Linked DNA regions of Daphnia pulex. The main gene of each other region encodes a partner of the protein of the gene in region 3 in a complex. Links are inferred from orthologs where the notes say so. Each region holds a gene or a part of one and is shown on either strand. Other genes may lie near its edges.

What was found. The genes of interacting proteins can lie anywhere in the genome.
Region 1: transcription initiation factor TFIID subunit 7-like (region 3) and general transcription factor IIH subunit 3-like share a complex: the UniProt entries of both Homo sapiens proteins name them as parts of the TFIID-containing RNA polymerase II pre-initiation complex. The link is inferred for Daphnia pulex from reciprocal best matches to the Homo sapiens genes TAF7 and GTF2H3.
Region 2: transcription initiation factor TFIID subunit 7-like (region 3) and transcription initiation factor TFIID subunit 8-like share a complex: the UniProt entries of both Homo sapiens proteins name them as parts of the TFIID basal transcription factor complex. The link is inferred for Daphnia pulex from reciprocal best matches to the Homo sapiens genes TAF7 and TAF8.

Annotation. Positions count from the first base shown.
Region 1 is NC_060021.1:11,068,197-11,075,791, reverse strand, and holds general transcription factor IIH subunit 3-like, read left to right. Parts: upstream 1-2,978; 5' UTR 2,979-3,113; coding exon 3,114-3,129; intron 3,130-3,197; coding exon 3,198-3,393; intron 3,394-3,468; coding exon 3,469-3,796; intron 3,797-3,860; coding exon 3,861-4,119; intron 4,120-4,178; coding exon 4,179-4,285; 3' UTR 4,286-4,398; downstream 4,399-7,595. Other genes in the region: uncharacterized protein LOC124194693, read right to left, coding at 1-92, 185-1,108, 1,167-1,595, 1,677-2,015; oligoribonuclease, mitochondrial-like, read left to right, coding at 4,782-4,886, 4,949-5,080, 5,144-5,173, 5,232-5,452, 5,512-5,632; succinate dehydrogenase cytochrome b560 subunit, mitochondrial-like, read right to left, coding at 5,731-5,975, 6,043-6,263, 6,327-6,386, 6,479-6,492. UniProt on the Homo sapiens protein: Component of the general transcription and DNA repair factor IIH (TFIIH) core complex, which is involved in general and transcription-coupled nucleotide excision repair (NER) of damaged DNA and, when complexed to CAK, in RNA transcription by RNA polymerase II.
Region 2 is NC_060020.1:5,723,634-5,730,705, reverse strand, and holds transcription initiation factor TFIID subunit 8-like, read right to left. Parts: upstream 4,721-7,072; 5' UTR 4,606-4,720; coding exon 4,559-4,605; intron 4,392-4,558; coding exon 4,288-4,391; intron 4,219-4,287; coding exon 4,163-4,218; intron 4,091-4,162; coding exon 3,860-4,090; intron 3,801-3,859; coding exon 3,650-3,800; intron 3,583-3,649; coding exon 3,293-3,582; 3' UTR 3,198-3,292; downstream 1-3,197. Other genes in the region: E3 ubiquitin-protein ligase TRAIP-like, read right to left, coding at 5,839-5,882, 5,940-6,634, 6,693-7,072. UniProt on the Homo sapiens protein: The TFIID basal transcription factor complex plays a major role in the initiation of RNA polymerase II (Pol II)-dependent transcription.
Region 3 is NC_060022.1:1,979,364-1,987,081, forward strand, and holds transcription initiation factor TFIID subunit 7-like, read right to left. Parts: upstream 4,866-7,718; 5' UTR 4,742-4,865; coding exon 4,643-4,741; intron 4,571-4,642; coding exon 4,439-4,570; intron 4,383-4,438; coding exon 4,302-4,382; intron 4,239-4,301; coding exon 3,860-4,238; intron 3,792-3,859; coding exon 3,652-3,791; intron 3,595-3,651; coding exon 3,492-3,594; intron 3,436-3,491; coding exon 3,266-3,435; intron 3,265-3,265; exon of another isoform or gene 3,207-3,264; coding exon 3,180-3,206; downstream 1-3,179. Other genes in the region: myosin-VIIa-like, read left to right, coding at 100-301, 372-695, 772-941, 1,010-1,213; mitochondrial import inner membrane translocase subunit Tim10 B-like, read left to right, coding at 1,753-1,770, 1,839-1,934, 2,012-2,269; L-seryl-tRNA(Sec) kinase-like, read left to right, coding at 2,298-3,185; NADH dehydrogenase [ubiquinone] 1 alpha subcomplex subunit 2-like, read left to right, coding at 5,149-5,240, 5,424-5,530, 5,597-5,685; putative zinc finger protein 66, read right to left, coding at 5,834-5,964, 6,050-6,181, 6,242-6,716, 7,124-7,295, 7,497-7,648. UniProt on the Homo sapiens protein: The TFIID basal transcription factor complex plays a major role in the initiation of RNA polymerase II (Pol II)-dependent transcription.

The DNA of each region.
Region 1 (7,595 bases), on a different chromosome or scaffold from region 3:
GCTCCATTATTGTTATGCCCCGATGAGGAGCCTCCATGTCCTCCAAGGTGCATCATATCTGGCATGTCAATTTCAATCTTTGTAGTGCTTGCCTGTATTAGAAAATAACAAGGAAAAATTTGTCAGCCCTTCATTAAACATACAATCTACAAGTTTTAACAAATGACCACAAAATCAAACTTACTGACTTGTTTTTCTCAGCATATATTTTGAAAATATGATATTTTGCTGCTGCAGCGTAGTAGAATAACAGACTGGGGACTTCGAGGGAGAGATAATTTAGCTGTCCTCTAGCAAGATGTTGATGTGGAGTTACTTGGGCGCAGGAACTCTTCTCATGCTTGGCAAAAAACTTCTTGTCAAACTGCTGGAAATTGTCCTTGATTTGTAACTGTTCTATTTCATTTGACCTTGAACACAGTTCTGTTGCATATGATGAAGTATCAGCATCCAATTCAATATTATCACTTGTCGGTTGTTCAAAACCACTTGACAATGAAACAGTTCCAGCATTTTCAAATTCTGAGACTTCTCTTAAACTGCAAGTTTCGGTATTGCTGTCCAATGGAAGATCAGGTACATTAATGCTATCCGATGTCTCGGAAACGATCAGCAGATTTTCATCACACGTCCAGGTGTGGTGATGAGCGATGTCTTGGTAACTGGACGGATCTTCTTCAGGCTCGTCCACATCAGCATAGAGAGTTTCTGATGTTAACGACTTCCCTATAACTATAACTTTGGACAATCGTTGAGGTGAAAAATTCTGTTCTTGTTGATCTCTTGTCCTGTCATCCGACAGTGTAGACGACGAACCACTGTTGTTTGGAACCTCATTTTGGAAAGGTGGGTTTGGTCCTTTTTCGGTTTCGGTTCCACCATTTTCGGTTCCAACCCGCGGATTCGAAATAAGCCGCCCCTTGGATTTTTGACTAGAACTACTTTTGTTGCCCATTGCTGCGGAGTCGGAGCTGCTGCGATTTCGGAAAAACGGAGAATTCTCTAATTCAGAGTTAGCCGATTTATCTTCGGGAATCGACGAGCTGCAACTTTCAAAGTCGCCCAAGTCGCTCAAGTCATCAACCAAGTTTCCATTCCAATCTTCCTGCTGCGTCCACAATATAGAAAATAATGTCACATTATTTTAAAAAATTTATGAATTCTACCTTAGCGTAGCGGGACTGATCGTCGAGCGTCAGAGGTTGATCGTTTATTAGCAACAAGGGCAAATCGTTTGACAAGCCAACGTTAAGGGCTTCGATGGTGCCTTCCGGATTACGATCATCTCCGTATCCATTATTTTCGTCGTTCCTTTGTTTATCTAATAAATCAATATTAACTGGAAACGCTTGTTGTTGATCAGATAGTGCCGCGTCTTGCAGCACTGGTTCCGGATAGCTAGATTGGCTGTTGGCCTCCACTCGAGCCGCACTAAATGCGTCAAAACTGTACGTAGTTCTAAACGATGTATTAGAACGATCCGAGTCAGATTCTAGCTGCTGTCCGTCTGGAGATCGATGAGAGGGGTTCGGACTGCTGCAATGAGGAGTGATTGGAGATAAAGTCGATTGAGTAAGTGAGTTTCGTTGTTTGGCCTAATTTAAACCAAAATTGAAACATGACGTTTGCTCTTGACGTGTGTTATTTACAGTATAGTAACTAGGGTAACAACTCACTTTGAAGGCGTTGGTTCGAACAAGGCGAGGCAGTTCGGAGTCGGGATCGATTGACGAAATGGAAAGGAGACGGGGACCTGCAGCGAGCTCCGATTGATCCGAGGTAGACAGATGACGGCCGAGTTTATTCAAACGCTGTCCAAATTCTTTGACGCCACGAACTTTTTCCACAAACAAGCTCTTCAACGCTAGAGCTTTAGTGTGTTTGTTGGTGATCAACGACAACTGGTCAGCCGACGTAGCTCTCTTCGTGGAACTGCAGCTCGGCGATTGCGCACTGCCGTTGCCGCTGCTGCAGCTGCTCTCGTTATCTGGCTCACAATAGTCGTTGGTTGCCATAGCGACCTTAGGATCCCTGTGTACATGGGCACAGTAATATCCCTTCCCGATCACCTGGAAATAAGAAAATAAGGGCTAGACAAGAATTTTATTACACGTGGTCGGCAGATTCCACTTCCTAATTTTTGTTCTCATTCTCTCAACCATTACAATGTTACGACCAATAACGAGACGAAAGCTTTTTATGTGTGATTTCTCATCCGATAGAGCGTACGATTACTAAATCGGCGTGTCTCCTACACATGATGATAATGACATTCCAGTCCAACAACAAAATAAAACTTACGTCACGTCGGTCAATACGACGTACGGGAGGCCAATTCTTGTCAGAGGCAACAGGTAGAAATGAGACTGGAGCCTTTTTAACACATAGACACACACAAGTCACAATACAGAGACTGAGTTTGACACGACCTAAGTAGTTCGCCCTGATGGCAAGCTCTTCCCGCCCGCTACTGACGAGATTTTGTGTAATATAAGAGGAAGGGTTTTTAATCCAGTAGAGGGCGATCAGAGAGCATGCATACAAGTAACAAAGAGAGAAAGATAAATGAAAGATAACCTTGCCTAGGCTCGCGCGCCGTAGCCAGACAAATATAGCAAATAAATAAAGAGGAAGCGGAAAGGGGGGAGAGAATGAGGGGAGAACTCACTTACGTACTATGTTGTGCTATTTCCTCATTTTCAAATAAAGGTGTGGGATATTTGAATTGTCGTTTCCTTTTTTCTTTATCCACTATAGCTTTATGAAAGACTCATGATATTTCTATATCGCGCATTTTTCTGGTATAGTCTTCATAAATGAAAATAATTGCGTCACTAGGTCTACACATGTCCAAAATGTAATTTTACATCCAACAGGTATCCAACTTCCAACTACCTATAAATGCGGGCGATGTGGCCTGAACGCGCGATGCCGGCGATGCGCCAGCCGCCAAGCCCGCCAGGCGGCCAGGCCGGCCGGGCCTAATTTTGTAACCGAAACACTGAGAAGAGGCTTCATTAAAACTTGTTGTTTACATCGAGTAGTGTTCTCTTCCTTCCAGTTGTTAATTCCACTTTTTTTTAAAGATTAGATAGAATAGAATCTCATGCAAAATGGAAGATAAAGAAGGTGAACCGTAGAATTTCATTTGTTATAAAAAAATTGTGGTGGCTAAAATATCTAAATTGTGATTGCAGAGCGCATTGAAACTCCGTTAGTGGCGATTGTGATTGATGCTACTCCTGCCAAAAAATTCGCAAGTCAAGCAATAATTGATAATGGATCTACAATGATGAATAGAATTTTTGATGCCTTGATTGGATTTGGAAATGCCCACTTGATGCAAGGCTCTCACAACAAACTGGCAGTCATTGCCTGCAACAGCAAGTCTACGTAAGTGATTTAAAAAATTTTATCTTACAAGACTTATTCATAAGACAATGACCATCTTATATATTTTTTTAATAGAAAGTTTTTGTACCCTTCCGAAAATGGGAATTCTAAATCCTACCATAACCGACCTGGGCAGTATGACATGTTTGCAAAAGTTGATTCCGATATTCGTCATGGCCTTTCAGAGCTAATCTTGAAAGATTCAATTGACCATGATTCTACTACATCAGACTCATTATTAGGGGGAGCTATGGCTCGTGCTCTGTGCCACATTCATAAAGTTCAAAGGGAACTTAGTTTGAGTCATCAGTTAAAACCACGCATACTTGTTGTTAGTGGCAGTTCTGACAGTGCTTTGCAGTACATGACCTTTATGAATGTGTTCTTCACAGCTCAGAAAGAGGTAATATGCTTACTTTAAAATCAATATTTTTTAAGAAAATAGTAAGAATGTTTCTCTTTTACAGAATGTTGTGATTGACTGTTGCATGATGGATACTGATTCTGGATTACTACAACAAGGCTGTGACATAACTGGAGGGCAATACTTACGAATTCCTACTGTTGTTGGATTACTGGAGTATTTGCTGTGGGTTTTCCTTCCAGGTCCATCTTGTAGATCCAAAATTGTCTTGCCACCTCCTACAAAAGTTGATTACAGAGCAGCTTGCTTCTGCCACCACAAACTAGTTGATATTGGATGGGTCTGCTCTGTTTGTCTTTCAAGTAAGTTAATGGTTTTTATCATTACTCTTCACTTTCAGTAACTTATTGCTTGTTTCTAGTTTTCTGCAAATTCAGCATTCTTTGTACCACATGTAACACAGAATTCAAACTTAATAGACCTGCAATCGTACCCTCCAAACCGAAGAAGCGTCCTCGAATGGAATAAATGGAAGATACAGTGAAAAATTAATTATTGCCCAAAAAGCTCTGACTGAAGCTCAATTTAGCACTTTGCTGTAAATTTCCGTGGCATACAAAAAGAAATTGTTTTGTACATGACCATTCAATGTTTCTTGGGTTTCTCTTTAGTCTCTACTGGTCTCTACTCTATACTCTCTAGTCTCTACTCTTTATGAAGAAAGAAAAAAAATTAAGACTAAAAAGACTGATTGTTATAACTATACTTTTCTTAGTGGCAGAGATATTGTTAGGTTAGTTCGATTGTTAGGTTATCTCTGATTTAAAATTTCGATTTTTTTAGAAAAAATTAACAATTTAAAAAAAAAATGAAAATTTTTAACAAAATGAAAATGTAGCTTTACTTCACCAAATTTTGAATAGCTTTTCGTCTGCTAGGTATCTTGAAAAGAGACAAGGCAAGGTTAACTATATAAGAGTTTTCAAAAGAATAATAATTTAGATTACGTACCGTTAATTTCCGGATGTTTACAAATAATTTGAGATTGGTTTCACGTTACATATACGCTCGCACAATGACCAACGCAGCGTTAGCCGCTAGAAACAGAATCGTATGGATGGATCTAGAGGTGAATTGGTTTCCAAGGAACAAGTCAAAAATTAGTTTTTTATAAGCTAATTTTCTTTATAGATGACGGGGTTGGACGACACCAAGGACCACATTCTTGAAGCTGCTTGTCTTATCACTGATCAAGACTTGAACATTGTTGCTGAAGGTCCTAACATCATCATTAATCAACCTGATAGCATCTTAGATGGAATGGTTATATCTATTATATTATATTATTCTTATATATTATATTATATATTCTATCTTATAATATAGGGAGAGTGGTGTAAAAAAACACATGGAGAGGTTTCAAATAATTCATTCAATACTGTTTATCCAAATCATAACACTTACTTTCTTTCAGTCTGGGTTAACAGAAGCATGTAGAAATAGTAATATCAGTGTTGAAGAAGCTCAAGAAAAGCTTGTTGATTTTATTGGTCGTTATACTAACCCCGGAGAATGCCCGCTGGCTGGGAATTCCATTGGTGAAGATAAAAGATTTCTGTACAAGTACATGCCCAAACTCATAAACCATCTGCACTACCGGATAATAGATGTTTCAACCATCAAGGAATTGGGAAGGTAATAAATTAATTTAAACTTTTTTTTTTAAATCATTAGCAAAATACATCTGGAATTAGGAGGTGGTATCCAGATGTTTTGAAAAATGCTCCCCCAAAATCCTTAACTCATAGAGCCATGGATGACATAAAAGAAAGTCTGATGGAACTGAGCTTCTACAAAGCAAATATTTTCAAATGAAAACACATTATTTATGTAACAGTCTACTACCTTTATTCACACCCACCCACAAATCAAACTGTAAATACAATGCAGTTATTGGATTGCATGTACTGTGTTCAAAGGGATGTCAAATATAATGCTAATGAAACAGCAGCTGCAAGGACAACATACCCTGTGCTTTGAATTCCCTTAATTGTGAGGTTGAAACCAGTATCCCACACAAGGTGTCTCATTCCATTAATCAGGTGATAGGAAAATGGAAAAGCAATGAGAAACTTCCCAGCCAATACAATAAGTGGAAGGTGTGCAGCTTCCAACATTCCCAAATAATGTGGAAATGATGCAGGCAATACCATGGCACCTATCAGATTACAAATAAAGCATATTAAAACATATTTATTGATGTAAAGATTGATTGATGAAATTACCAATAGCTAGACCATACATCAGTCCATTTTGTGCAAGACCAGTAAAACGATGTGTAATGGACAAAGCCATATTAGACTGGAATTGGTAAATAGATAGATGGGGAGAAATTGGCCGTTGCAACCTCTTATTCTTATCTTCAAAATTTTCATTTGAAAGGGGTTTAGCACGATTAGCTTCGACGCTTTTAATTCCGAACGTAGAGGCTGACACAGTGTGTTGCCTGCAGCAATTAATAAGGGGAAACGTTAAAATATGTTAAATCATCCTTCACCAAAACATCTACCATGATTTGACCGGAGCTGCTGTGAGTAGCCGGGTTTGGGTAGTATTTTTTAAGATGGTACTAATAAAAACAAAATTAAAAACATATTTAGAAAAAAACTGGTTCTAGATATTAGGAAAGTTTTAAAAAATTGTTTTATATTTTATTTCTACCGTAAAAGCGCCATATTTGTTATTGCACAGCAGTAGCGAATACTGATTTCGTTCGCGAGGTTGACGGATCAAATTTATGGCAATAGTTTCAATTACTTAACAGTTTTCAAATTTTTTATTCTAACATAAGAAAAACTTGAAAAAAACAACAATTTTCATATCCTTTTCAAATTCTGTAAATAATAAGTGGATAATAAGAAAATTGGTCGTACGCGTCGTACGTGTACGTCCCTCTCCCTTTTCCAACCCATGCCCAACCTTTAGAATGCTTGGGGCGTTTCCTACTGCCTTCCCAATGCTAAAGCATAGTTTTTATCCTAAAATTTAACTTTTTACTCAGCTAACATTAGTTAAAGAGAAATATTTCAAAACTGGTAAGTGAACTTTGTGTAGCGGTTTTCATTCTAACAGAAATTTATATGTAAAAAAAAGTATTTTGAAACGGATTGTTGTTTTGAATGCTCAAAATAGAACAAATTTCGCTAGTCTCCCTTGAGATGGGCAACGGTATATATTTTGGAAGTTTTCCTCTGAAAAGTACTCTGGTTTCCAATCAACACCCGGATAAATCTTTCGCCTTTTACTAAAGATTTCCGTGGTTGGGAGCAATTGATGAGTCTATATGACTAATTTTTCGAAAGCCTGGTCTTCTGACCGGGCATCCTAACAAATAAAATAAATCGGATAAGTAGGAATCTGAAGATTAATTCAGGTTTTTAAGTTTTTTCATTGCGATTGCGTCGTTCTATATATACGCTCATAGCAATATTCTATTTATTCAAATAGGTGATGAAACAACAATATCTAAAACTCAAAATTGCTTTCTACAATCAAAATATTTCTTCAATTTGTTTGCTTAATTTAGATCAAAAGGCAGTCCAAATTCAACATATAATTAGGAAAGTAAGGAAACCAATTTTAATGATTCCACAATCAAGTACAATAAGTTTCATACCGCATGTCACATTAAGTAAAATAGCGCTGGACCTAGTGCAGATTAAACATATCTGAATACCCAACAAATTACCTAGAGGTTAACTAAGGTAGGGTGTAAGATAGGGTATTCCCACCCTCAGTTATAACTCAGGATAATGGCAATAGCAATACTCAGACGTGT
Region 2 (7,072 bases), on a different chromosome or scaffold from region 3:
AAGATATCCGTTGAGCGTATTACTTTACAAAAGGCAACCGGAGATGGAACGGCCGAGTTTCGTTGTCGGCCTCCAGCATATCGGGAAAACGACGGACTAAAGACATCGAGGCCAGACATCAACCGCCATCTCAGTAACTAGCACTAAGCGAGGTCGTTTTCATATATTTTTATCATGGAACCGCAAAACCACTTTTTATTCCAGCTGATGTCTAGTTTTTCCAGTTCCAGGTCGGTTGGCACCATCAGATATGAATCAACTCTCTTCACAGCTAAGTCAATAAGAAAGAAGGAAAACGAGCTTTCGTGTAACCTTTAATGCTCAAAAGAAAGAAAAGGCATTTCTTTTCTTTTGTTTCGGTCTGGGCTTTCGTGAAATGAATGGCGTGGGTGCAGCGTGCTGAGCCGTCAAACTCTCGTCATCTGTCCGTTCGTCCAAGAAGATGCTAATCTTTCAAAACCGACTTTTGGTACACACACAGCTCCGGGCTAGCACGCATAGTGAGTGCTAGTCTCTCTCCTTTGTCTGGCCTTATTAGCTGATAATATTTCACCTTCGAGTATATATCAATGTTGGATATGGCCTTTCAAGTCTGTCGTGAGCCTGGATACTCGAGACTCTCCGTCAATAAGATCAATTAACAAATGATGTCCTTTAAAAAAAAGCGCCGTTTTCACGGGACGCACCCAATCACCTTGGGAGCGTGTGTATTGTGTGTGTAGGTTCCAGTCGTCACGTTGTGTACTGCAGCTCATGAAGAATTCCGCGAATTCCCTAAATAATTCATTGCCATAGACCGTTCGCTATGTGTGTAGATTTTCCTTTTATTATTATTTTTTTTTCAATTTGAGCAAGTGTCCTGGTCGCCCACTACATTACGGCCGGCCTTCGCTTACGTGTCAATCGGCCAAGTATTCTAGTCTCGTCGTGTTCGTAGAGCCGGTTGGTGATGGATAGATTTCGAGGAGAGTCCTGCGTGCTGGTGCACAGGACCAGCAGCTACAAAAGTCACGAGCCAAAATATATATACCGCCTTTTGGCAAATATACATATACTACTACCTCTTGTTTGTTTGTGGCTAGATTCCCTTTTGCCGACATTACAAGCTCGCAGATATGCCATTACTTTGTGTGCTGTCAGTTGGTCGTGGGCTGGGACTCGCGTGCAATTCCCTGTTTGATTACGATGCCAATTCTCGAGTTGAATAACAAGGAACCGTCATGATGTTTAACCTAAATCATTTTCAAGGAAAAGAAGAAGAAAAAAACGAAATGCCTGAGATAAACCAACTAGCACATAAAAGGCGAAAATTGGGAGACCGAAGATAACCCTTAAATCTGGCTGCAGCTCACGATTTCTCTTAATGCGAATGGCAGTTGTGTTGCGGTTGTGAGCCGCTGGAATGAAATCCGAAACGGACAGATGAGGTTCCCTATCAGGAAGTGCGACGAATCGTCATCTCCACGCTGCAATGAATCATGAATATTCCCCAGTGCGTACTATTCTTCTCTAAAGGTATGATTTCATCAATTTAATTCCCCGCAAAGAGAAAAAATCAAATCGAATCAAGTACTTTGGACAGGTTGACAGATCACCTGTGGCAACCGGCAGCTGCCGGCTCGTTTGCGAATCATTGAATCATTCTCCGAGTCATTCCCCTGTCAATAATCCATCAGTGACGACTGACGAATGCATGTGTTGCAAAGGTACAACTTTCTACGCTCGTGCTGGCTATAGTCCGGGTTCCTGGTTTAGCGTTTTAGACTGCTGTGAGAAAGGAGACATCTGAATTTTAATTTCAGTCAATCCTTCATTCGCATCAAATGGTTCCTTGACAGCCTTTGTTTGAGCTGTCGGCTTCTAAGATAAAACTGTTTTTTGTTTTTCAGCTTCTATTATTTCAAGCAACCATGTTATGTCCTGCATGAGGACTTTTTCCCATTTAAATTTGTTGGAATTGACGTCACGAATTGACGTGCTTTGAAGTACCCAGATCACCAAGTTTCCCAAACATCTTTACAAACGCAGACCTTTGTGATTGGTTTTGTCAAATTAGATTTTCATTGCTTCTCTTGACGAATATTAAAATTGATAAGAAGGTGGAAATTTATTCTTGGAGCGTCAGTAGGTGAACTCCACGGCCAGAAGCGCTAAACCGGACTATGCTATGCATGAAGTGGTTGGCCACTAGTGACCAAGAAAAGTTCTTGGTTCGACCTTCTCCGATTTGCGTCATCCGGCCGATCGGTTTGCCAGGACCAAAAGACGCGCGAGACTTTCGTTTACGAATTACGACGTTGGCAATCAACCCTCCTCTTTTACTTGTGGCAGTTGTTGTTTGCTTGATGAATCGTAAATGACAGGTTGTATGTAATAATACGTCTAATAAATTGTACAACATACCAAACGTACGAAGGAGCATATTGCATGTATAACGCAACAACTGCAAAGATATGTTTATCGCGTATCTCAATAGTTGAAAATTTGATATTTTCTAACCACAAGCTCCGATTTCAGCTTCAATCAATCATTTAATTTAATTTCAATTGTTCCTTCATTACAGTGCATACAAATAGATTTATCCTATTACATTTAAAATGATTAAAATTTTTAAACAATTCCCCTTATGCCGTAACAGCATTGTATATAATAACCAAAAACTGAAAATTACCCTACTTAAGTGCGGGATATAGCTTTATTTTCTTATCGCTAGGTGTCTTATTTTTCCATTTTACAAAGTCGTCTGCAAGTGGTACTCAACAACTTTGTGAAAATGTCACGATATTTAACGAAATTTAGGTAATAAAAACTTTATCGGTCACGTGGAGGCACTCACTATAATACTTTATAATATATTTAGATTGGCCATACCTCTAGTTATTCAGACCAGGCAATTAAATGCTCATAGAGCGTCAATCGGTAGTATTGGACGATCTATCTACGTGAGAACATACCCAACTTTGCTTGTACAACCTGACGGTTCTACAATAACCGTACATTATAATGAACCTCGCGCAATAATAAAGGCAAATTTATTTTTATTTTTAATAAGTATGGACGTAATGTTTGTTTTACTTCCATTAACAGCTGCCTCTGGACTTGAGTATGCTATCTGAAGCTGAGAAGCAAAAACGACTGGCCCAAAGGAAGCCAAAGAAAAAGGTCAAGATTGAAGAGGAAATTGAAGACACATTTGATCAAGATTCATATTCACATTTATGGAAAAAATGAGATGACAGCTGATACACAAATAGTACGAAAAATAAACTAAATTTAACAATATGGATTGTGGTTATGGGGAGCTCTTTTTCTTTGAAAAAGGCATTTTAACTGGTCTGATGAATGGATTTTCCATGATAAATGGTTCTGAATTTGACATTTCCATCAGTGAGCCATTAGGTCCAAGGTTATCCATCATTTCATTGTTCTCTTTCTCCTGATCCAACTTGGCGGCTTTAATGGCTTCAGCATTTGCTTCTTCTTGCTTTTGCATGTGGACGGCTGCCTCGTCTTCTTCAAAAGTTTGATCGCGAGGGAGAAGGGCGGACAAAAACGGTTTATCCATTGGCTTACATGCAATAACTAGGACACAAAGAATATATTTAAATGAAAAAGGTATACATTACTATTTTTTTCGTCCTCTACTTACGGGGATAATGCGTCAAATCTTCGACCAAAAAGAAACTCTGCGTTTCCCCTGTTTTAGCGACAAAGCGCGTCAGTGCTCTCTCCACATCTCGCTTTTGACAGGATGCCTTTTCTCGAATAGTTTCGTAGTCCGTAATAGGTTGTTTGTGAGTCTTAAAAAACAATAATTATTAAAAAATATAATGTATGACAAATATGGAAAACAACATACTGGTGTTTGAACATATGCATGTGAATCTGGAAATGCTGGCAAATGATCTGGGATATGACTTGGATGTGGTCTCTTTTGACCAGTTTGTAAAATTCCAATTTGTTTGGTTGCAACAGCTTGAGTAGGAGTTGGTAAAACTAGCCTTCTTGCTCTTTGAGCATATGATTCCAAAGAGTTGTGCTTAATTCCCATTGAAACCAAGGCCATAACAACATCTCCTACAACAGGTTCCTAAAATTAAAACATATAACTTGACTACTGATTATACCCTATAACTCAGAGAAGAATTTAGATAACCCATACCACTCTTGCAGATAATTCACAGTAAAGACGGCTACTATGACCAAGTTCAGTCAGAACTGTAGAAAGAAAATAAATAAATAAGGTTTTTAACAAATATGATTACTTTGATAGATAGAAATGCTTACAGCTCTGCATCATCTCGGTAAGGGTCTCCAATGACAATTCATCTACTGCACTGAAGCCTGCCTCACTACACAAACAACTCACACTGGCCTGAAGCAGTTTCCTTCTACAAATATTTAAGATAAATTACATTTGTGTAAAACACCTAATTATTAAGGTCTGTCTAAATCTGACATCAAATACTGTAACATGGAAAAAAAAGATTGAGTATCCTTGTCAGTATTTTAGTCTTTTAAAAGTTGTTTTTCACCACACGTATATTAAATGTTTTACCTAGAAGCTGCTCCAGACATGATGGGTTCTGAAACAGTAGTAGTCATTCTCGGTGTTGTGGTTTATAGAAGAAATGATTTTTTATTGAATTATAATATTTGTTGAATGGTTTTGTTGACAATGCAACAAAACTAGCAGTACAGTCGTTGGTCGTTGCTAAACAGTCGCTAGGATTGGTGCAGCGGCGGCACCTGAAAGCTTCGTCAGATTCACTCGCCGTCAATTCTTTCATTTGGTTCTGAACTTGTAAGTCGTCGTCGTCCTAGTGAGTTTTTATCGTCTTTCATCTGGATTTTACCATAATATAGTTTTACAAAAATGTTCTGTTTAATTAAAGCATTATATAGACGACATTTGTGAGTTTTTCCGTGTTCGTAAATAGTAAACTTCCTATTTTTCTAAACAGGATTATCTAGCCACACCAGCTATATACAATGGCCAAATCCAAGAATCACACAAATCACAACCAGAGTAAGTTTATAAATTATATATTTGGAGACACGTTTTAACGTTTCCTCATTTACAGACCGTAAACATCATCGTAATGGCATCAAGAAATCCCAGGCTCACAAGTGCCCATCCAACAAAGGAGTAAGATTTTTGTTTCTTTAGTTACTTGGAACATTTGTCAAATTGACTAGAATTGGTTATTTAGTATACTTTTGAAGGTTCTTTGTAGTTCCTTGTTGCTTTAAAAATCAAGCCCATATTGATTACTGTTCACTGAAATCCATAAATTTCATTCTAAGTTACTTGACGTGAACTTTTCGTGCCATGTATGTGTTTAACCAATGTTAGTTGAGATTGAAGTTTTAATGTTTCTCCTCATTTGCAGGTCGATCGCAAGTTTTTGAGGAACATGAAGAAATCGCGCGCACGCAATCTGAGCACTGCTAAGCAGTTGATTGTCGCCAAGTACCGCAAGGACCAGGCCGAAAAGTAGTTTCTCAAATTCGCGAGGATTAAGTTTTGTGTAAAACAAAATGTTCTAAATACAAATCTTGATTCTACCTTTTCATCTATTACCTAAATTTATAATTAATGTAATATAATTTATAACTAAATCATAAGACTTATAGAATTGTTTTGCCAAAAAAAGCCGACTATTGTTGTTCATGGCTTCATGCAGCAGATTACTTAAATCTACAAGGATACAAAAAAGACCAATTTGTTTTTTATTACGCCAGTTATATATTTTAAGACAATCTGTACAAAATATAATTTGTATTGGACATCTGACGGATAGACTATTAGCAGCAAATTAACATCTTCAATTTATATTATTGAGAGTAAAAGTAATCTAAGGTCGTGGTCTGCGTTTTACCTGTAAAGAAAAAACGTCGTTAAATATCCTATTTCAGTAATGATTAACAGTTTTTACCTTTAATTTTCATTGTAACTGGTCCTCTCTTCTTTTTAGTGCCTGAAAGTGATGAACTGGAGGAACCGGCACCTTTTGGGTAAATTTCGGGTTTTGCGTGACCTCCAAATCCATCATAGAAATAACCACTAGTTGACGGTACTGGATCGACTTTCATTTTTTTAAACTTCAGGGATTCACCATCAACGGATGCGGATGAACTGCTAGCTTTGCGAGCCTCCTTTCGCTGAGTACTGGAAGCTGCTTCTTCTTGTTCAGGATTGCTAAGTTTGGGCTGCATGCTCGAAATATTTTGCGATGACAACATCAATCTAGACGAAGGAACGTTCGAAGGTTTCATTCTAAGCGGAACTAATGGAGTAGAAGGTGACGATGGCGTTGTCATGAGAAGATTAGACATTCGAAGGTTAGTCGGCGCAGGACTCTCATTGATTAGACGAGACAGCGCAGAGTTGCGAGGATCACCACTCGGCGATGAGATCGACTCCGTAAGGGCCTTAAGCTTTTCTTGCAGTTTTGCATTTTCTGTAGTATATCTTTTAATATCCTCTTCTGCCAAGCTGGATTGCTCTTCTTTCTCCTTCAATTCCTTCTTGGTTTGCTGGAGTTCAAGGCGGAAAGTGCTTAGGAGTCGTCGACATTTTCTTAACTCTTCGTCGGCTTTCTGCTTTAGTTGTACTTTAGTATTCAGCTCCCTATGGGAAAATAAACTTTGAAACAAAGCTTTGAATGTTGGCTGATATTATTCAGTACCTGCTTAAAATCACACATTGCGTGCTCAAGGATTTGGCCGTTTCTGAGTGATCACCATATTGCTCCAGCATTTCTTTTACTTCGTCATGAGTAGCAGTCACAATTTGTTGAACATTTTCCATCAGTTTAAGCTTTCCTTTACAAGTCTGCAGCTCTTCTTCTACGATGGCGAAAGACTTAACTTGCTTATTCAGGAAATCGACTCTCTGTTGGAGGTTGCTTATGACGGTTTCCGACTCACGAACTTTTTCTGCACTTTCCTTTTTTTCTTTACAGTACTTGTTAGATTTTTTCTTTAGAGTAACATTCTCTTGCCTAACTTCTCTCAGTTCTCTTTGTACAACTTGAAATTCCAGGGACATTTCATCCAGCTTTTGTTG
Region 3 (7,718 bases):
TTTCCCCTCTCACTTTGAGTGTCAACAACATCGTTTCAATTTCATTGGGTTGTTTTATATTTTCTGTTCTCTTTTCAATGTTTTTATGCGCAATTCCAGGCCTTTGAAGTCGATTCTTCCACCAGAGCTAAAGACTTTTGCCAAAGCATCTCGCAGCGACTGGCACTCAAGTCGGACGAAGGTTTCAGTCTCTTTGTCAAGATTGCCGACAAGGTCATTTCGGTGCCCGAAGAAGACTTTTTCTTTGATTTCGTCCGCCACTTGACGGACTGGATCAAAAAGGCCAAACCGACCAAAGACGGTAACGTTCACATCGTCTACAATTTTATCGTTATCCCTTTTTCTTTATTATATGTTTATGGCCTGGACAGGTATCACGCCTCAATTCACCTACCAAGTGTTTTTCATGAAGAAACTGTGGACCAACACCGTGCCGGGCAAAGACCGCAACGCCGATACCATCTTCCATTTCCACCAAGAGTTGCCTAAACTGCTGAGAGGCTATCACCGCTGCAACAAGGACGAAGCCATCCGTCTGGCCGCTTTCATTTACCGCGTCCGCTTCGGCGAGAGCAAAGCCGAGCTGGCCAACGTGCCGCAAATGCTACGCGACCTGGTCCCGGCCGATCTGATCAAACTTTTAGGCAACAATGATTGGAAGAAAACTATCACGGCTGCTCACGCTCAAGATTCAGGTTTGACATTTGATTGAATGATTGACTTGATTCCATTTGGTGTTGACGCCACATCGTTTTGAATTGAACATTTTAGGAATGAGTGCCGAAGACGCCAAGATCAACTTTCTAAAGATTATTTACCGCTGGCCAACGTTTGGTTCGGCCTTCTTCGAAGTCAAACAAACGACCGAGCCCAATTTCCCCGAACAGCTTTTGATTGCCATCAACAAAAGCGGAGTCTGTCTGATCCATCCACAGACTAAGGTGAATATCGCACACCCGCCATTATCTTTCTTTTTTGAACTCGGAATTAACATTTGTTCGTGTTCTAGGACATTTTGGTGACTCACCCGTTCACGCGCATCTCCAACTGGTCTTCGGGCAACACTTACTTCCACATGACTATCGGCAACCTGGTGCGAGGATCGAAATTGCTGTGCGAAACCTCGCTCGGCTACAAGATGGACGACTTGCTCACCTCCTACATCTCCTTGATGTTGAATACCATGAACAAGCAAAAGTCCATGCGGCTCTAATAATTTGCTCGCTCTTATTCTTCACCATTTTATCCCATTCAAACGAGAACGTAAATGTTGGCTATCGAGATGAGCTTCGTTCCTTTGGTCAGTTTATAGATTGATTTTCCATCACGAGAATTAGCAACTTTGTGAATAGTTTCTGAATTTTGCGATATTTTGCCACTACCTAGTTTTCCGTGTTTTTTTTTGAATTATTTTTAATTGACACCGGGGTCATCTGCTTTTGACGGGGTCTACTATTGTCAATGCATGCTTCGCTAGCTCTCCTCAAAAGCAAGGAACGATCCCGTTTCCCCTTTGCAGTTTTCATCGCCCTCATAATCGTCTTTTAACAAATTTATGTATATGTTATTTGAAAAATGAAGAATTATAATAAAGCATTTTACACTCGAAATCAATAGATAAACAAGTAAATTAATTTTTAAATTTTTTTAAACAAAATACGGATATGTTGACGTTTCGGCTAATGTGGCAACCCGGTGAGCCATATGTTTTGCAGACGACATGAATTGTCAATTTGTGGAAAGTAATTCGAAATGGATGCACTCAGGAACGTAAGTTTTTAGAAAATGTATTTGAATTGTAATTAATGCCAGAAAGTTAATTGATCTCTTCTTCCTAGTTTAAAGATTTTCTCTTAGTGTTCAACAAAATGTCAGAAACTTGTTTCACGCGATGCGTGAACACATTTCAGACTAGAGAGCTGACTGAAGATGAGGTAGGCTAAGAACATGAGGTTTCTCTTTCATAACATATCAGACCAATAGTTATTTTTTTGTTTTTGCTTTTTTTTAGGATAAATGTGTTGAAATGTGCTCAACGAAGAACATTAGAGTCAACCATAAAATCATGTCTGTGTATATGGAAGTTCAACCTCTAATTGTGCAAAAGCGAGTGGAAGAGATGGAGAAACTTAACCCACCACAAGCAGTCGCAGAAACTATTCCTGAAGTTGCTGAAATTAACACAGTTGCACAGTCAGTCATAATAGCAGAAACTGAGCCTCAACATGTTTCACAAGAGACCTCATCTTTAGAGCCTCAAGTTGTGTAAAATAGTGACACATACCAACAGGACAGAAATGAATCAGTGTTATTGCATTGTGGTGTTACTAGGTTTGCCTGCCAGTGGAAAGAGCTGGTTAGCAGGAAGATTATGTAGTTTTTTAACAGAAAACAATTGCATTGTGAATTGTGCAACTTTTGATACTATTGTGAGTTTAGAAAAACAGGCTGAAATTGCTGTTTCGTCATCTAGTGAAATAACAAAGCATTACCGTCGCGAGATGAAAGACACTGTGGAGTCTTTCTTGAAAGTGCCCAATCCTTCTTCCAAAAAGTGTGTCGTAATTGTTGATGATAACAACTACTATCGAAGTATGCGGTATGAATATCATCAGTTAGCGGCCAAATTCTACACAGGCTACCTTCAAATTTATGTCAAATGCGAAGTGTCTGAAGCGTTACTCCAAAACAACAGTCGTCCGCAAAGCAGCCGTGTTCCTGACATTGTAATCACTCAAATGAACACCAAATTTGAAGATCCCTGTGAAGCGTGGGAAAATTCTTTGACGATTGGACACATTGATTTAAATGATACAGAAATATTGAACAAGATATGGAATTACATCCAGAATGCTGTGGATAGTCCTGTCTCAACATTGAAGACTCTAGAAGAAAAGAAGCTTGCGTCCGAGCAAAGCAAACTACGCAACGATCACAACATCTTTCACAATATCGACAAAGTTCTTAGAAAAAGATTAAACCAATGTATACGCGAACGTAAAGAAGAAAAAGACGCTCGTGTATTGGCAGCACAACTAAACGACACTCGACAATCTATTTTGGAAGGGATCAAAACAGGCGCCATTGCAATCCCGACAGACATTCTGAAGGCGGATGGATCCATCGATTTATCTATCCTTGAGGTTTGGTCCATTTCAGCTTTTATCCAGAGGTGTCCGTTATAACATGGACATGATTTGGTCATACTAGAATACAATTTGTTAAAAATAGCTGAAATAATAATAAACAACACAATAGAGATCACCTCTTCCTTTTTCTCTTGTTCCTGAGCAACAAGTTTTGAAAGAGCCATCTGAAATCTTTGCTTGAGGGCGGCGTTTTCAATTGTAGCTAGCTCGTTTTCTTGAGCTTGTCTCATGTTCTTGATCTCACGGATTTCATCCCTCAGTTTATCAGCCATTTTTTGCAAATCGTCTTAACGACAAATGATATTAATTTTTAAAGCAGAAAAACAAATTTGAAATGTTTACCTTTTTGTGTGTCGATGACCTTTTTTTGTGGAGATAGATTAGAAGAACTGCTGTCATCCCGAAACATATCTCCGCTAAATTGGGTTATCATAGAATTGGACCCCTAAAAAAGAGAATGTAACAACTATCGAAACAAATTTAATTATTTTAAATTTGGTACCCTGTTGCTTCCTGCATAGAACTCCGAACCCGATCCACGGGATTCGTCACTGTTTTCGTAGTCTGATTCCATAATGTTGATCTTGCTTCCATGTTCTTCATCTGAGTCGCTTAGTGCCTCACCAAAAATATCGTGTTCGGCTATAGATAACAGAAGTATGAAGCAATTTGAACGAGTGCTGAAAACCGTTGGTTTTTACAAAACATACCCAAGCCACGGTTTTGTGTGCTAACGAATGTTCCGGATGCAAGAGGGACGGTCATTGCTGCCCCATCTCCCAACCCAGCTTCATTGGCTGCCTTTACCTTAGATTCATCTTCTTCTGTGATCAGTTCCCATCGTACACTTACCGCTTCATTATCAACACGCAGTAGGCGCCTGACTTCTTTTTCGATTTCAGGAGCCTCAACGTACTTCTTTTTAAGGGTTTTTCGAAATCTCCTTTTCCTGACATTCTTCATTGGTGGAGCTATGCCGTGAGGCATAAGGAATTTTTTATCGACCTTATGAGGATCTTTTTTCTTTGGTTTAACAGGAGTTTCTTCTTCACTACTTGACTGTTGTTCTCCTTCTTTACAAATCAATATCTTCAAATTTTAAATATCAGGTAAAATCAATATTCTAAGAATTTGAATTGAATTATTACTCACCTGGCTGACATCAGCGGCTTTGTAAAATGTTTTATTGTCAATGGTTTTTTGAGATTCCATGACACATGGAAGATCTAAAACCTAAGTAAATATTTGTTTTACAATTGAATATCAAATACTCTAATTAAGAATAACACCTTGGCAGACATAGTCCAATTGTCAAACTGAACCTGTCCTTTCCTCATGTCATTATCCATTCTAATATTTAGGCGGTCCTTCAGATTCATCACACCTGTCCTTAGAGTTTGTCGCAAACTTTCGGCACATTCCTACCACAAACACATTAAAGAATTTCAGTTTAAGACAATAATAATGTGAATACAAGTGTCCAAAGAACTCACTGGTAAGGTTGGTGGGAGTCTCAATATAAACTGATTTTCCAACTCATCTCCTCCATTATCATTTGTACTGCTAGGTGGTAGAACTGTAGGTCTATTCATTTTTTAACAATTGAGCCTACCACTAATATTATTATATCACGAGTCACTATAAAAATTAGAATCAAATATTCGTGATTCGTCGTTCACGAGCAGACGCCACAACAATGTCGGACTGTCACTGTAGGCGTAGGCCGTGTAGCAACGTCAGCGTTGTACTGTATTTTAGACGTTGCTATACTTTCATACTTTTGTATTACTAAACTATTGTTCCAGGATTCATTTCTATTTAATAATTGGTAATTTAAAGAGAAAATAAATTTATCTAAGACAAAACGGGGATCAGAATACTTTTCAAATAAGAAATAACTCTTTACTTTTGTTGCTCGCCGCTAGGATCAAGAGCAAGATATCTCGAATCTCGATTCTCGAGTTTGTTTTGTTGTCGAGTCTGCAAAAACTTTTCCAACATGGCAGCCGCTAGAGCAGTAAAAATTTTGCCCCATGTGAAAGAGATTCGGATTCATCTTTGCCAAAAGTCAGACGCCAGCAAAGGGGTTAGGTAAATGAAGAGTGTGTTAAATGAAATGTAAAATGCGAATAATCTTTTATTGTGAAAGACGTGAATTATTCTGTGTAGACGTATAATCATGGTGTAATCGTAGAGAATAGTCTCATTCAGTCATTCCCTTAATTTTATCATTTTAACTCTTCATCTTCATGGTGTTATTACTATTCATTTTAGAGATTTCATTGAAAAGCATTACATCGACTTGAAGAAAACCAATCCCAAAACACCTATCCTCATCAGGGAATGCAGTGGTATCCTGCCAAAAATCTGTGCCCGACATGGTTGGTTTACATATTCTAATTTGGATTCATAGTAAAAATTACCTTAATTGTCTTTTTAATTTATAGAGAAAGGCCTGGAAGTAAGTGCCCCAGTAATGAACCTGTCTGCTGAGAAAGTTCACTCAGTTTTGGAAAGTCTTGTTCTAAAGAAGTAAAATATTGTTCTTTATTTGTAGAAGTATTGTGTAAATAGAAAAGTTAGGATGAAAAATTTACACAGTCCTTGCCATATTTCATAGTTTATTTTCATTATCACCATTTGACACTTAATTCAATCTTATATTGATTTAGCCTGGTCTATAGTTATTCATTTTCATCACCAGCAGGTGGCTTTGTTCCTTTGGAAAATTTGCAATGGAGGTTCATATGTCTTTTTACTTTAGAATTGCTTGTGAATTTTGATTCACAGTTTAGACAACTGAAAGCTTTTTCACCTAGTTTAAATTGTAAATTCATATTATAATAATAGATATTTCAATTTGGCAATGTGCTCTGGTTATAAAAAATTGACAGCCGTACCTGTGTGAGACATTTTATGGGTTTTAAGTCGGTGTGTTGTTCGGAAACATCTACCGCAAGTTTCACACTGGAATGGTTTCGCACCTGTATGTTCTTGTTTGTGTATCTTCAAATTCATTGGGTGAGTATATGCTAAACGCAAAATGAATTAGTAAGTAAATTTAAAAACTAAGATCCACAATGGTTAATTACCTTTATCACAAAGATCACACTTAAATGGTTTCTCCTTTGTGTGAGTCAGTTCGTGCATTTGCAGATTATTTTTTAATCTGAAAGCTTTGCCACAGAACTCACAAATGAATTGATAGTCAGCAGAGTGTAGTTTTTGATGATTTCTTAAATATGACAAGGTAAAGAACTGTTTGTTACATTCTTCACAAACATATGGCTTATTCCCAGTATGACGATTAAGGTGGTCCATGTACTTTAGCATAGATACAAAGTTCGCTCCACACTCGGTGCAAAGATGTTTATCACGGCTAGAGTGCCCAGTATTTTTTGTTTCTTTTTCAACTGTATGCACCAACGGTTTGCTAGTGCAACATTCTTGAGCTTCTTTATTTTCTTCAGTTCCCTCTTTGTTTATTAGACCGTTTTGAACATCAACTATTTCAGTTTCTTCAACTTTTATAAGAACTTCCATTATGATTAAATACCCCTTTTTATACTAGTTTTGATGCCCATTCAGAACTTTCAACCGAATAATGATGCAGCACTGTCCTATAATAAGAAATTTTATACAAGATATGAAGTTAGTATTAATTTTGTTTAGTTCAAAAATTCAATTAAATAGAATGACATTTTTGTTAAAGACTTTACCAGTGACCAAACAGCAGGAACGAAAATAAGTGTTTCACTGTTTTGACTGTTTTCTAAAAACAATCAAGAGAGCGTCGTCTGCAACAAAGCATGCAGTCCTGCCAAACCTCGAAAGTCGGCACTCGCAAGTCGCAACTCGCAAGTCGCAAGCCTGTAAAGTCGTAACTCGTAACTCCGGTAACTCGTAAGTCGCCAGCCGCAAAAGCGGTAATAAAGACCAAGTGGACTTTATTAGTGGAAACTGGAAAGTACTACCTGAGTACAGGTAGTGGTAGGAGGGCAGTAGCTAATAGCTATGGTGCTCAGACGTAAATACCAGTCTTGCTGAAAATTACGCCTGCCCATGTGCCTGTCTAGGCGGACTACTGATTCAACATCCAAAGTCCGAACACTCTGATCCGAAGGCGCAATAACCAATCCAAAGTGACTTTAAGCACATAAAATTATCCAAAGGTACAGCTAAAATTAAGTTCAGACTTCAGACATATCAAATAATGTTTTGAGGAGGTTCATTGAGACTAAATAGTAAAGACAAAAATATGGTCCTTTGTGTATTTACAAATTTCAAAATGGGTTCTATAAATCAATGCGAAGACTGGCAATTAAAGGAGAGATGTATTACGAACATCACGAATTTAATGATTCTTCCAAGGAAGGAATTTCTTGAACATCGTCTTGATCAATAGAAAATTGTACTAACATAGGCCCCACACCGGATGGCTCCACAATATAAGTGTTTACAGGGAGGACTTCTAAAGATTCTGCTTCTATGATGGTTACCTAAGTATTTTCACCGAAAATTTTAACATTAGTAAATTCTTTCCCAAATGTAGATTACATTAGATACAAT